2 linked regions of the Tamandua tetradactyla genome follow. The protein of the gene in region 1 interacts with the protein of each later gene in a biochemical or structural test. Links are inferred from orthologs where the notes say so. Each region holds a gene or a part of one and is shown in the gene's direction. Other genes may lie near its edges.

What was found.
Region 2: the proteins of CCKBR (region 1) and CCK form a complex in vitro, tested with the Homo sapiens proteins (3 studies listed by BioGRID). The link is inferred for Tamandua tetradactyla from reciprocal best matches to the Homo sapiens genes CCKBR and CCK.

What each region holds. Positions count from the first base shown.
Region 1 is NC_135334.1:79,677,518-79,684,849, forward strand, and holds the start of CCKBR (gastrin/cholecystokinin type B receptor), read left to right. Parts: upstream 1-4,323; 5' UTR 4,324-4,424; coding exon 4,425-4,575; intron 4,576-7,332. UniProt on the Homo sapiens protein: Receptor for gastrin and cholecystokinin. The CCK-B receptors occur throughout the central nervous system where they modulate anxiety, analgesia, arousal, and neuroleptic activity.
Region 2 is NC_135341.1:45,023,815-45,031,954, forward strand, and holds the start of CCK (cholecystokinin), read left to right. Parts: upstream 1-5,105; 5' UTR 5,106-5,149; intron 5,150-6,152; 5' UTR 6,153-6,154; coding exon 6,155-6,368; intron 6,369-8,140. UniProt on the Homo sapiens protein: This peptide hormone induces gall bladder contraction and the release of pancreatic enzymes in the gut. Its function in the brain is not clear.

The sequences.
Region 1 (7,332 bases):
TAGAGATCATTTTGTAACTCTGCTTAGTAGGAAAGCAGGGAAGGATTTCCTGAGGAATTGCTGCTTGAGCTGAGGTCAGAAGGGTAAGTAGGAATTAATTAGGTAATGAAGGAAAAAAAGAAGCTTCCAGAAAAGATAACATCATGAGAAAAGGTTCATATAGCTGGAGAAAATGTAGCAAATAAAAGGGGCTAAAGAAAAGTCAGTATGTCTACAGTGGAGAGAACAATCCCATAGTGGCTTGAAATAAGGCTAGAGGGGTCAGTAGGAGCCAGGCAGGCTTTGAGGGCCTGTTATAAGGTTTTCTCTTTATCCCAAAAGCAAACAGCAGAAGAGTAGCACAATCAGATTTTATATCGTGAAAATATCACTGGTTATAGGGTGGAGGATGGATGTAAGGAGGCATCAGTTAAATGCAGTGGACTGTTTAGGAACCTAGAAGAGTAGTGCAAGGGAGCAGGATGACAATAGAGTAATGTCAGGGAGAGAGAAGCAGATTGATTCAAATACTTAGATAAAATCAACAGAACTTCATGACTGACTGAAAATAGGAGTGAAGCACTTGGGTTCTCTGGGATGCAGACTATAACACAGAGATTACCATGTAGCATGTTTGCTAAGGAGTGCTGTTGGAGTCAACATCTATGCAAGAGAAAGAAATTAATCCAAATTGGGCAAAGGAGGAAGCTGATCAGTAATGTGGCCCCAGCAAAGGCCTCAGTCAACCTCTTGAGGCGCTCTGGGACTGTGGAGGTCTTTCAGAGTTGTCCTCCACTGGGGAGAGGAGACTGGACCTTTATACCTTTGTGTTGATCAGTCACTGGATACAGAATACCCCAGGAAAGAAACATCACCTTGGATGAACCTGCTCTCTTCAGCTCAGGGAACTCTGGACGGGGACCCTGAAGGGCTGTCTGCCAGCAGCCTTCCAGCAGCTGGAGAATAAACCTTCATTTTTGAAGGGGAGTCTGGGCTTTGAACAACAGCCTCTGCTACAGGAAGAAAAGAAAGCAAGGCATCAAGGAATTTTCCTAAATTTCTGATTTGTGCCTCTTTGTGGATGCATTTATGACCATATATTGCAATCTTTGGCACATCTGTCATTCTCTGCCTACCTCATTGGGAGCCACTCAGGCACAGACTGTATCAGACAGCTAGTGTGCAGCCCTATACCTGGCACATGTTTGCTGAATAAGTGACTGCCCGTCTACCTCTCCTATTTCCACTCCTTTCTCCCCTACATTCCCTTTGCTCTCCCACCCCACCCCCTCCTTCTAGCCAATGTGGGAAAAAAATCCAGTAGGTTATCTGTGGCCCCACCTGGGCTGAAGCTGAACAAACAGTAAGCCGAGCTCTCCCGGTCCAGGTTTTCTCACTGGGCAAAGCAGGCAGTGCCAGGAGGAAGGGAAGAGGGAGCAGCTGGCTGGACCAAGTTTTCCCTACACGACCGCTTGGATAAAGACTCTGAATTCCCCATAAACCCAGACCCCATCACCACTCTAATCCGCCCTTTGACTGATGCCCCCACCTCTTACAACTACTGAATAGCCAGAGGATGCAACTTCTGTTCATTGTAGAGTTTCTTTGAAATAGAGGAGAGTGGACGGCCACCTGGGCTGAAATATTAGGAGAAGTAAGTCCTGCTCCAAGTAGCTGAACCCACCTCAGATCCTGCACACACCCCATTCATCTTTGTTCCTGATTCACCCCAGTGTCCCAACCCCCTTCCAGCCCCCTCTCGTGGGAACCTGTTGCCCTACACAGGCAGGTCCACCTGCCCTGAGAGCAAACAGGGAGCGTCAGCGAGTCGGGTAGGGGTGAGTGCTGCCTGGAGACCGCGGAAGGTTGGAACCATATCCCAACCCACCCCCATGCCCATTGCTTTTTTTTTTTCAATATTTTTATTGTGAAATATAACATATATGCAAATATTGATAAATTTCAGAGTACAATCGAACAAGTAGTTATAAAACAAATTTCAAAGTATGGTATAGGTTACAGTGTCACAATTTCAGGTTATTTCCTTCTCGTTGCTCTAATACACTGGAGACTAAAAAGAAATATCAATACAATGATTCAGCAGTCATACTCATTTGTTAAATCCTATCTTCTCTGTTATAATTCCTGCTTCTCCTTTCATCCTTCTCCCAATCTTTAGGGATATTTGGGCAATGACCACTCTAACTCTTCATGTTAAAAAGGGGTGTCAATATTATGGAGTAGGGAGATGCAACTGGTTGAGGTTCTTGGTGAGACAGGTACCTCTGGGTTTCAGGACTTATCTGGCATAAGAACAATCTGAAAAGTTTTAGGTTTCTGAAAGGTAAACTTAGTGAGTGAACATTTATAGAGGCTCAGATAGAGCCCTGGGTATTCTTTAGGGCTTTTAGGAATACTATTGATTGGGGCTTGGTATACTGTGGCAATTTTCAATATCTAGCTAAAGCTTGCATAAGAGTAACCTCCAGAGTAATCTCTCAACTCTATTTGAAATCTCTTGGCCACTGAAACCTTATTTTGCTACATTTCTTTCCCCCCTTTTGGTCAGGTAGTCATTGTCAATCCCATGATGCCAGGGCCAGGCTCATCCCCAGGAGTCATGTCCCGTGTTGCGAAGGAGACTTATGCCCCGGGAAGTCATGTCCCACATGGAGAGAGTAATGAGTTTACTTGCAGAGCCAGGCTTAGTGAGAGAGAGACCACACTTGAGCAACAAAAGAGGTCCTCTGGAGATGACTCTTAGGCATAATTAAGGTAGGCTCAGCCTCTCCATTACAGTAGCTTGTCTTTTCATCCTTTTAACAGTGTATTTCACAGAACAAAAGTTTTAAATTTTGATGAAGTCTAATTTATCAATTTTTTAAAAAAAGATAGTGCTATTTTTAAAATATTTTATTGAGATATCTTCATGTACCATACAGTCCATCCAAAGTATGCAATCAGTGGCTCACAATAGTTATGTATTCATCACTGTGATCATTTTTACAGCATTTCCATCACTCCTGAAAAAAAAATAAAAATAAAAATAAATACATCCCATACCCCTTACCCATCCCTCTCCCTGATCACTAATATCACAAACTACCCATTTTTTTTTTTACTTTCTGTCCACCCCCATTATTTATTTTTTGTCCTTATTTTTTAAACTTTTTAAATTGTATAATATAACGTAGATACAAAGCAAAGAAAGAAAAAAGCAACAGTTTTCAAAGGACTCTTCAACAAGTAGTTACAGGACAGAGCCCAGAGTTTGTCATGGGCAACCATACCATCTCAGATTTTTCCTTCTAGTTGCTCCAGAACATTAGGGATTAGAGGAAATGAGTATTTTTTTCATCACAATCGACTTGTGTGTGTGTGTGAAAAAATACCATATATACAAAAAAGCAATAAATTTCAAAACACAGTGCAACAATTAGTAAATATATTTCGGATTTTGTTATGGGTTACATGTTTGTTTTGTTTTGTTTTGTTTTTCTCACCTGTCCATACCCTGGATAAAGGGAACATTAGCCACAAGGTTTCACAATCACCCACCACCCCCCATTTATCCTGGGCAGGTGTCACCACCCCAGGCGGACTCCGACAGCCAAGGCAGACTCTTGCTCCCGGCAGCACTTTCCCCTGTCAGGAGACCCCTGGGGACAACTGTCCTGCACCCCCAACCATGCCCGCTGCTGAAGACTCTTTGGGTGTTGGGCGGTAGAAGGCGGAGGGTACGGGGCAGCTGCAGCAGTTACCCCAGGCCCACGCGAGGAGCTGCAGGGCACGATGGCAGCGACAGTGCCGCGATGGCTGAGGCCACTGCGGCACAATTTCTGGTAACCGCGGCGCTGAGCACCTGGTGAGGCATCGCGCCGCGGCCGGTGCCCCCTGCGAGCAGACCCCGCCTCCGACGACACCTCCAAGTCCCTGCTCCACCCGGGAGAGATGCAGCGCTCCGCGCCAGCCGCGCCCTCCCTCACCCCTCTAACTCTCCCTCCCGCCAACACACACACAACACACGCACACGCACACACACACACGCACGCAAGCACACACGCTCCCCAGCGAAAGCCAAGAATTCCCCAGAACCCAGGGCGGTGGAGGGGAGGGGAGGCTGGCGGGAAGGAAATCTGTGAGAGGAGACGGGAGACATCTAGGGAGGGGGTCGAGCCTCGGAGAACAGTCACGCAGGGGTGGGGGTGGGGGCGGGACGGGGTGGGCAGAGGAGTCACCTGGGGGGACAGATGCGGCCCCGAGCCGGGGAGGGGCGGGAGCCTCGGCGCGGCGCGCAGAGTGGGAGTGGAGGGGCAGGGGCCGGGGCCGGGGTTGGGGGCGCTTCGGGGGTGGGAGCCTGAGCCGGAATCGCCGCGCGCCCAGGTGGAGCTGCTGCAGGAGTCCGCCCGGCCCAGCTGAGGGAGGCGGCGGGCCCGGCGGGGGCCATGGAGCTACCGAGGCTGAATCGGAGCGTGCTGGGACCCGGACCCGGGCCGGGGGCTTCTCTGTGCCGTCCCGGGGGCCTCCTCCTCAACAGCAGCAGTACTGGCAACCACAGCTGCGACCCCCCTCGCCTCCGCGGAGCCGGGACACGAGGTGGGTGTCTCCCTAAGCCCCCCCCCCCACAAGCTCCTTCTCACAGCACCTCAGGACTCTAAGAGCGGCCCCCCACGGCCTCCACACTGCCTCCTCGGACGCCCACACCGTCCCCCTCAGAGCACTCTCTCAGCCCCCAAACGGCCTCTCTCACACATGGGGCCCCACAGTTCTTACAACTCCATCACATCGCAGCCTCTTCACAGACCTTCTCTGAAAACACAGCCCCCTCCCCAACACACATCCCCCTCCTTGACACAGACAGTGGAGAAGCAAGGACCTTCTCTTGCCAAACCTTCCAGGTCTCTCTTGTACATCCCATCCACAGTGCCATACAGGGGAAGAGAAGAAAGAAAGGAAAGATTGGGGGGAAGGTGGGGACAAGATTGTGGGAAGAGCACTCTGGAAGGCCTGATGGGAAGCTGAGTTATTTCTTGTGTCCCCCACCCCACCCCCTAGCCTTCCCAAATGACATCCTCATGCCTGGATTAGGCTGGACCCTGGGGGCTGCTCCCCAGAGCTGTCTGCCTCTATTTTACTCATCCTCAAACCTCTCTGCCTCCCAAGCTGGAGTTCTTCTCAAAGCTCTCTACCTTCTCTTTCTCTGTTTCCAAGTGATGTCGCTAAGTTCCTCCAAGCCCCTAGCATAGCTTGTCTCTCCTTAGGGCTCATCCTCACAGAGACTGGTTCCATCCCTTTGTGCCACCACCTTCTCTCTTCCTACCTCCTTCGGACTGCTTCCAATCACCCAGTCCCCCCCACCACCACCACCACCAAAATGAATTTCACTCTTCCCATCAGCTCACCTTAGCATTTTCTGGATGATCCAGCTCAAAGTACATCATTTTTCCCTTCTTGCACTCCTCCTTTCCTTAAATGTTTAGTGTACATCTGCTATCCTAGTCCCTGAGCTAGGTTCTGGGGACACAAGGAAAAATTAGACCCAGTCTCGGCTCTCATCAGTTCATAATCAAGTATAGAGAAGAGACAAGCCCGTGGATATAGCACAGTTAGCATAGGAAGTACTATGAAAGGGTCTGACTTGTGGGTACCCAAAAGAGAAAACTAATTACCACAGCCTGACAGAGTCCACTAACTTCACAGAGAAGGGAATCCAGGAGCCAAATTTTGAAGTTGGAGTTCAGTAGGCAGAAAAGGAAAGAGGGGTATTCCAGGAGAGGTAAAAGTATTAAGCAGAAGTAAATTATTCCAAGCCCGAAAAGGGAAAGAAACTTGAAATAAACTGTGGTCTGAGTACTTATTTATGCCACAAAATAACACATGCTTTCTCAGCTCCGTTATTATACACACTCACACACACACTCAGATTCTTTCATTCAAAAATGTTTACTGAACAAGAGACTGTGCTAGGTGCCAGGGACATGAATTGAACAAAACTGACACAGTCTCTGCTTCATGGAGCTCACAGGTTAGTATGGGAGACAGGCAAGTAACCAAGGAACTGCAGCACAAAATGGAAAATACCTTGGTAGGGCTGTGGGCACATGGCCTTGGAAATCAAGGTTGGCCTTCTGAGGAAGTGACATCTAATTTGAAATCAGAAAAATGAGAGAGAGCCAGAAGGGTGAATGGGGCAGAACAGGTAAAAAAGAAAAAATCCCAAGCAGAGAGGCAGGATGTGTGAAAGCCCAAAGTTTAAATCCATGGCACTTTTACTCAATGTGACATATTTTTGTGTGACTGTATCAAATTCCCTAAGAGAGGAGTAATGAACACTCAGGCTGGAGCCTAGAGGGTTTATAGAGAATACTGTATATCTAGCTAAGGAGTATGTATTTTATCCTGAGGGCCATAGAAACTACTGAAACTGGGACTAGTTGTTGAGATGGAAGGCAGGGGGATACTTTAGAATGCTATTACAGTGATACATATGAAAGATGACACTGGCTTAGATGAAGTGAGTCGCAGAGGGAAGGAGAGAGGTGAATGGATTTGGAGAACTACTTCTGGAAGTAGAATCAACAGGACTTGGTGTCTGATTAAAAGGGGAGACTGAGGAAGAGGTCCAGGGATGACAACCAGGTTTCTGGCTAGGGCAATGTATTCGATGGGTATTGGTTCTATATAATGTGAAGGATAACGAAAGAACAGAAAATAGATTCAGAAGAGATTATAAATTCACTTTGGAACCCACTGAGTTTAAATGTCAGTGGGACACCCAGATGGAGTTGTTCTGAAAACTGTTGAATGCATGGATCTGAAATTTAGGGGAGAGGCCTGAGCTGGAAATACACATTTGAAAGCCTTTTGCCAATGGAGATAATGGAAGTTATGGGAATAGTGAAAATCACCCAAAGATTGTATAGAATGAAAGAAAAAGAGAACCTGAGGCAAAACCCTGCAGAAGTCCAATTTTCAAAAACCAGGCAGAGGAAGGAGAGTCCATGGAAATTTAGATGAAACTATTAGAGAGATGGGAGCTATGTCTTTCCAGAAGCCAAGGAAAAATAGAGTTTCCAGCAGGATGGGGTAATTGATTTCAAACGCTGGCAAAAAAATCAAGTCAGATAAAGACAGAGCAGTGTTCTTTGGAGTAAATAACAAGGAAGTCCTTAGAAGGAGTTGTGGATGTGTTTGTGTAGCTTTGTCCTTTGGATTTGGGCAGGGGCAGGAGGGGGGCATGGTGTAGTAGAGACAAGAGCACTTTAAGAGTACTGATGGGCAGAGGAAGGTTAAAGGCGCAGGAGAGGGGGTGTCAATAGAGCAAGGATGCCTAAGAAAATAGGAGGTGGAGTA
Region 2 (8,140 bases), on another chromosome or scaffold:
TTAATGAGGTTCCTTCAGTTAAGGTGTGCCCAGCCCAATCAGGGTGGATCTTAATCTGTTTACTGGAGGGAGTCCTTTATAAAAGGGATGGAATTCAGGCAAGGACAGAAAAAGCAACAGAAGCAGGAAGCAGAAATTCCAGCAGAATCCAGAAGAGAATGGATAGGCCAGAAGAGGCCCCCATGTGCCTTGCCGGGTGACAAAGTAAGGACCAAGCACCACCAGCAGCCAGCCCCAGAGCACCACGGCCTTCGAGGAGAAAGTGGCACCTTGATGACGCCTTGATTTGGACTTTTTTCCCAGCTTCAAACTGTGAGAGAAGAAATTCCCAATTGTTTAAACCCAACCCATTTGCTGCATTTGCTTAAGCAGCCTAAGAAACTAACGTATCTCCCAAGTAAACCCCCTCACCTTGGTCTCAGGCCCTGCTTTTGTGGAAACCTTACTTAAGACAAGATATTCTAAGGAAACACTTTACTAGGAAAAGAAAACACTCATGGGTCATAATGACCACACCTATCTCTTTCTTTTTTGTCAAATCACTCCAGTTAATGGCAAGTGACACTGATCATGTGGGCTTTTAAAAAGTTCCAGTACAATTAATGGCATTTCCAATATGTGGGGGTCAGGAGAAAGAATGCAAGACCCCAAACAGAAGCTGGACCAAGCGTTCTTGCCAACACAGCAGACAGCCTCCTGACCTCTTTTGAATTGGGGTTATGATAACAAGTGTCAATTCTATGAATAATAAAGTAAGATGCGCCTGAAAATTCCCCTAAGTTTTCTACAAATTCAAAATAGTCACCTGTCTGTGAGCTGCTTCCATGGCTGAAAAATCCGACATTGAAAGCATCACATCTGTTTCAGGACCTGCTTTGGGGGGATGCCTCCCTGACTTTGGCCCTAACCTCACTTAAATTCGTTTCACCAGACACAGATGGAAATTACTAGATTCCAAAACCAGAAAACAGTCCAAGGATGCCTCTTACCACCATTCCCTCTCAAATGCAATATCTGCATACTGTTCACTCTGCTTCTAGCCCTCTGCTGAAGGCAGGGGACTTCCACACCACAAGCTCTGGGCCCCAGCTGGTGAGTCCCCCTCAGTGACGGGACGGGGCAGGGAGCACAGAGAGGGCACGGTCCTTTTCTAGTCTTTTTCTGGGACAAGCCAATGGGTTTAGGGTAAAATTTAATTACCCCATCACACTTGATGAAATACAAGAACAACCTCCATTCATGGTGAAACCACATTACACCTTCCTTTTGCTTTATTTGGATTGCAAATCAAAACCATATCTCTTTAATATTCACAGCAAGGTCTTCATGTCAAAGAGTCTAACAGAGGAGCCTCAAGCAGAGGTTTGCAGGTGCTCAGCCCTCCCCATAACTTTCACTGGGCTATGTTAGCATTTGTGTCCATCCATGACGTCTTACACATTGCCTGTCTCTCTCACTGGAATGAGAGGGCCACGATGGCAGGGATTACGTCTGTTTCACTTGCTGCCATTTCCCAACAGTGTCTGATAGACATGAGATCAGAGGAGGACTTAGGGGAAGGTGGTTTATTTGGGAGATGACCCCAGGGAGCAGCCGTGAGGAAGTGAGAAGAGTGAGACAGGGAAGGAAGAAAAGTCAATTAAAGTGATGTTAAGGTCACTGCTTCAGGCTAAGGGGGCTGGACACTGCAAGAGCTTTGGGAAGCATCCAGAAGCATCCAGAGTGGGCTCAGAAGGAGCAGGTTTCCTGCTTGGGGATTCTCTTCAGGGGAGTTAACACTCAAGTACCTCCAGGCTGAACTTTTGCAGAGAAGTGGAGAGGGGCATTTTGGAAGTCCAGCTGCAGCCAGAGGTGGAGCCAGAGGTGGGACGTGGGGCACAAAAGCACTCGCCTCAGAAAGCAATATGCAAATATTTGTTAGTGAACAAATAGATTTCCTTTAGTGCAATGCATATGCATTTACAGGAAAAGCGCCATATCCCAGGTCCATCTTGGTCAGAATTCTTAGTCCCCCTGGCCATTAAGTAAAATCATTACTGTGGCTAAGAAGTTCAGATCTGTTTTGTTTCTTTTATTTCCCCACAGGATTTTATAACACATCCCTGCCCAGAATTCCCATTCCTGGAGGGAAGGTGGCTACACCTTTATGGTAAATGAAACAGGCTCATTACAAAGGCTCTTCTTCCGCCTCTGATAGTCCTTGTCACCTATGGCCTTTCCTCTGTGGCCTCCTGACCACTCCTCTGGTTCTTTATCAGCTCCCCTTCTTCTACTCACTCCATCCTGTCCTCCTCAGGGGTCTGAATAGAGCTGTCTCCATGGTACCCAGCACTCCATACTTCCCCCGGGGTTGACCTCCATGTTCACATCAAAGGCTGGGGGTTCACATCGCCAGTGCCCCCCCTGTCCTGAGCTCAAGGCTCATGTTTTCAACCTCCTCCTGGACTATCCATGCAAAAATAATGAGCTCAATCTCATATGTAGCTCATCCCCTACCCACTCTCATACCCCACATCTGTTTTTCCTCCTGAATTCTCTGTCTTGGGTAATACTCTACCACTCAGGTTGCCTTCCAACCTGGGACCCAAGGTCAGCCTCAGTTACCAAGCCCCATTGCTATTTCCAGTTTCTTAATAGTGGTTGCCCTTGGGTGGTTGAACTTTTCCTTTTTCTTAACTTTCATTTATTGTCTGGAGGTTTTCTTATGAGCACTTGTTACTTTTATAATGTAAAAACTGGTTGATTATTTTAATTATAAAACTATCTTGATTCCAGGTGCCCTTCTAACCAGTCCCTACTGTCCAATTTCTCTCCCCTTGAAATACCCTCCCCATCACAACCAGACTGATCTTTCCAGAACCTGAACTTCATTCCTTCACTCCCTCATCAAAACATTTCTCTGGGGTCATTTCCCATCTCCAACCCCATATCCCTCTTCCCAATTCATCAGAAGCATCTGATGTTCAGTTCTGCTGCCTCCCCTCCATTTGCCCCATTATACCATCAGCCTGTGTCAGCATGTCAGCACTGCATCCCAGGCACCTGGCACAAAGTAGGGTATTCAGTTAAATATTAATCAAATGGATGAAGAGAAGGGAGTTAAGTAACTGGCTAAGGTAAGAAATGTCCGAGAGCAGCAGTGCTCAAAGTGTGATTCCCAGAACAGGACCATCCAGCATCACCTGGGAACTTTTTAAAAAAAGTGCTCACTTTTTAAATGTGGGTTTTTTCCCCATAGTTAGAAAAGGTGTGAATCTACAGAATAATCATTCCTGAAATACAAAATTCCCATATACCACCCTATTATTAACTCCTTGCCTTGGTGTGGTACATTTGTTACAACTGATGACAACACACGTTTATAATTTTACTATTAATTATAGCCCATGGTTTAACTTAAGTCCTTAAGTGAACTTGTGGTTCACTGTGTTGTCCATGGATTGGGAGCGTTTTAGGAAATCCTTCAGGTGATTCCCATGCAGCTAAAGTTTGAGACCAATAACAAGTTTATAGTTGTCGGCATGCCTTGGCGACGGTCACAAAGAAAACTGGTTTCCCCAACTGCCTCCTGGGAAAGCCACTGGGAAACATTTCATCAGCTGCTCTGTTTTTAAGAAGCTAATACCAGCTTCAGGTTGTAGAAACAGTCGCTTTTCTGATTTAGAAAGGGAAGCGGGGTCAACCAAAGTGGTCCCCGCGCCAAGCTTCCCGTCCGCCGCGATGCCCACGCAGGCGCCCCCCACAGCCCGGCTCATCCCGGAGTCCCGTCCCAAGTGAGTTCGGATTCCGATTCTGAAGGAGTCTCTTCCAGATCCTCGACCCCGCGTCGGAGACTTAGGAGAGCAAGCGAGGGGGAGGAGTTGAGGGCGCGAGGGAGTGGGGGTCAAGGCGCGCTGTGGACCTCGGCTACGTGCTGCTCTTCCGCGCGCCTCGGTTTGCGGTCTGTGAAATGGGAGCGGTCATCCCTGTGCGGGGACAAGGCGACCTCGGACACCAGCTAAATGGCTTCGGGGCAAGAAGGATAAAGTCCACCACCGCGCGCGGGCTCGGGGTCGCCGTAGGAAGCGCGCCCAGCAGCCTTAGAGCCTCCCTTGCCTCTTCCCCAAGGGTGGGTGATGCGGGAGCGGGATCCTAATTCGACTCTCAGAATTACACTTTGCTGACACCCAGCACTGCCTCGTGTCCCCCAAGTGTTCTTTCCGGCCCATCTTGTCCCCAAAGGAGGGGCGGACGCCGGAGCGAGCGGGAACGCGGCGTGGCGGGGAGGGGGTCGGTCTCCCTGGGACACTCGCTGGCGCCACTTGGCGGCTACGAGGGGCAGCGGCAGGTGGTGACTGCCCGGAAGAAGACAGCCCGTTTCCAAACCCAGACGGTGTCACTCCCATTTTACAGCTGCGTACAGCGAGGCCTGGGGTGCCAGCAGGCACCTCTGGCCCGAGCCTTTTCACTGACCCGGGACACTTGCTCCCGGAATCTTGAAGAACTTCGAGGGCTTTTAATGGGCTGAGAAGAAAGGACCCCGACTCCCTCTGCCCACCCCTGAAGGAGTTCACTCGTTGGCTGAAAGAGCAGAGCTGCCTCGGATTCTGGGAGAGGGGCCGACAACCCCTCCTCTCAGAATTACACTTGCTGACACTCAGCACTGCCTCGTGTCCCCCAAGTGTCCTTTCTGGCCCATCCGATCCCCGAAGGAGATTAAAGGCGGGCAGCTTCTCCGTCCGGGGGGAGACTGCCGACCCCCAGGTCTGTCCTGCCGACCCCCAGGTCTGTCCTTCCGACCCCCAGGTCTGTCCTGAAGCACGCCACGCTGGCGCTGGGCGGGGGAGACGGCGGTGCGCCGGGTAGGGGAAGGAAGTACTGGGGGCTGAGCGGAGGGTCCCGGGCACCCCTCTGGGGAGGGGTTAACCCGGCTCCAGTGGGCCATTTCGCCTCTCCCCCAGGAGCCACCTCAATCGGTCGTCGCCCCAGTGGCCGCCACCTGAGCACGTGTTGCTCCGGGTCTGCGTCAGCACTGGGTAAATACGGGACTGGACGGCAGCGCCGGGCGGGGCTATTTAAGAGCCTGCCTCCCGCCCACCCTGAACTTGGCTCGGCCGCCGGGCTGCTCTGGTGGAAGCGCACTGCCAGCTGCGTCCTGCTTACTCCAAAGGTAGGTGTCCCGGCTCGCTGGCGAGGGATCCAAGTGTCATTTGTCCTAGGAATGCTGTCTTCAGTTTTGTACTCCTTTCCATTTTGTTTTTCTCTTTTCTATGCCTTCTCTACGACAGCTTGAATGACATAAAGTCAGAAATAGCCGTGCTGTATCTAATATTGGGAGCCGGGTGGGTAAAGCTGCATGACAGACTTTCACACGCTCCCATCTTTCTTCTCTTATGCTAACAATGCTTTAATGTCCATTTGCAAGGATTAGCATTCAAATTGGGTTTTGCTGGATTTTACATAGAGGTGCTGTGTACTTTGGGGATCTCTTCTAATAAAACACCAAGAGGTTTTAAGCTTTAAATCCATTTTCTAAATACTGCAGAAAAAATGTAGGGCTTTGGGGATTGAAATGTGCAGGTGTGTTTTAGATGCTGGCCAGGCATTGCCAAAGACTGAAGGCTGATTTTAAAAATCCTACTTGTGTTTTGTGCAGTGGTTTGATAATGATTCCCATATACACCTGCAAGAAACTTTATAAATCTGACTTTTGTTTATTGCTCCCATTATTTTAACTGTGCTTTTCTTTCCTCACCATTTGTTTCTCCACTGAAAGCCTCTTGGGTATCTGGAAAAAGAGCTACTTTCTTCAAGTGGCATGGAGCCTTTCCCTAAAGATATTTTTTACACTTTAATCTTTTGCTTCTCCAGTTAGGAGACCAGAAATGCTCTACGAATATTTTCCTCAAACTAAAGGATAGTTGAAAATATTCCTTCTGCTAAACATCATAGAGGACAGAAGTACCTTCCCGTTCCGGGCACCGGGTGTGATGTACCCAAAAAACAAGCCTGGGCGCATCGGGGCACACGTGCTGTGGCCACTCGGCTCGGGTCTGCTTGGCGAACCCTGGTGCCTGCGCCGGCCTGGCCTATCCCGAGCGCCCAGACCCTTCGCTAGAGCCCGCGGGTGCCCCGCCCTTTCATTAACGCCTTCTCCCCTCTGCTCTCGGCAGCCATGAACAGCGGCGTGTGCCTGTGCGTGCTGATGGTCATACTGGCGGTGGGCGCCCTAGCGCAGCCCGCGCCCCGGGCTGACCCCGTGGGTCCCGGGGCGCCGCCCGCGGAGGAAGTACTGCGGAGGCCGCTGAAGGCGGTGCAAAGGACCGACGGCGAGCCGCGGGCACACCTGAACACACTGCTGGCGAGATACATCCAGCAGGCCCGGAAAGGTAGGGAGAGACCCCTTCCCGTCCCTCACTTCTGCCCCTGAGCAGAGCTCGCATTCCAGACGCTCTTCTCTAGCGCCCACTGATGGAGGTAGGTGACCCCGCGGGAGGAAAAGCACGAAGCACGTTAAGCTGAAAGTTTTTTTCATGTTCGATTCCCCACTTACACAGCAAGGGTCAGTGCAGTTTTCTGGACGTCCTTTTTGGCAAACTGAGAGGGACGTACGAAGGGACTTAATTTATTAGTATGGGAAACATTTATAAAAAGCTTTCTTTGAACTAATTTTTGGCATAGCGTTGCTGTTTAAGTTCACCACCGCTTTATGAAGACATTTGAAGAATGTTTGGGGAACCCTCAAAAAGGGCCCCCTGATGCACTAAATACCCTCCCTGGTAAATGCGAAGGAACTGAGAGCCACCCAGGTACTGAGTCTGAAAATCCTCTAGCAGGAAGATATCAGTGCTGCAGAATGCTTCAGATCTGACAACAGCATTTTTAAAAAAGTGACCAAGGGTCAGTGTTTACCGAAGTATCTAACAGGAGGGAAGAATCAGCAGCTCACCTTGGCAAAGACTTAAAAAAAATGATTACTCAACAATATATATTTTTACTTTGCAATTGGAGAGATTATCTCAATTGCAGAAAGCTGAACAAACCACAGATTTATCAGCATCAAACCTTTCTCCAGGATAAGGTGAGTCAGCAGCTCACCCACATGTGGACAGTCCTGTCCCTTTCCTGGGTCTGCCTTTCTCACCTTTTAAGTAGGGATGAGGCTAGATTTCCCCTACGCCCCTTCCAGCTCTTTCTGTGATTCAGAGGGAGGCTTATCCATCCATCTCTTGTGGTCCTCGGGCATCGTGAGTTGGACTGGGGGCACGCCCTTCTACCAACTTTGCCCGCAGTGAGTCCCCTAGCTGTGGGACAGTGTGTGCAGCTGGACTAGCACAGCTGGGATGTAAAACCATTCAGCTAGGGTAGTGGGAGGTGGGCTCCCTTACTGAAACTCTCGTATTGCTGCATGCTAGGGCCTGGGTTTGAACCTTCACTCTTGGCTTGACTAGAGGGGGAAAAAATAGAGGTCATGGCTTTGCAGTCACCTATGATTTCATATGAACTGGAACCTTTTTGACTAGGGGATTTCAGAAGGAAAGAGCAGAGGGTGATTTGTTATATTTCTTCCTCTCTTTGGAAAATTGTTCCTGCTACCACCTTCTGTTTTGTCTTCCTGCTAATTAGATGTGGAAAAGATGGACATGCTCGTTAAATGACAGAGAAAGTCTGAAAACTTTTTGGGTTCCCATTGATTGTCTGTCTAAAGGTTATGTAATTTACACCCCCTGCATTGAATTTCAGCCATATCATCTGAAGTATCCTAGGCTTTTCATTGAGCCATAAATCTGGAAGAAAATTTGAGAATTAACTCCATACCTGCTTCCCCACCTTCAGGAAAGATCACAGAGAAATAATTATAGAAAAATCCAGTTACTACATTATTTCCCATAACATACACTTGATAGTGACTCCTATAGTCCACGTCTTAGCTGGAAAGTTCTTCCTAGCATCACGTCTCAGCCCCCTCTTCCTTCACTTTCAGGCTTTTGTGCCAAACAAACCTGGTGGATATGACCATCACTTGGAACTTTAGCTGCCAGCATCCATGATTAGAGGCAGCTAGAAAATAATCATAATCATCTATTTGGCCGATATAAACTAGAAATAAATACTGTTCAGTTTTTTCAATGTTTTACATATCTTAAGATCATGCCAGATT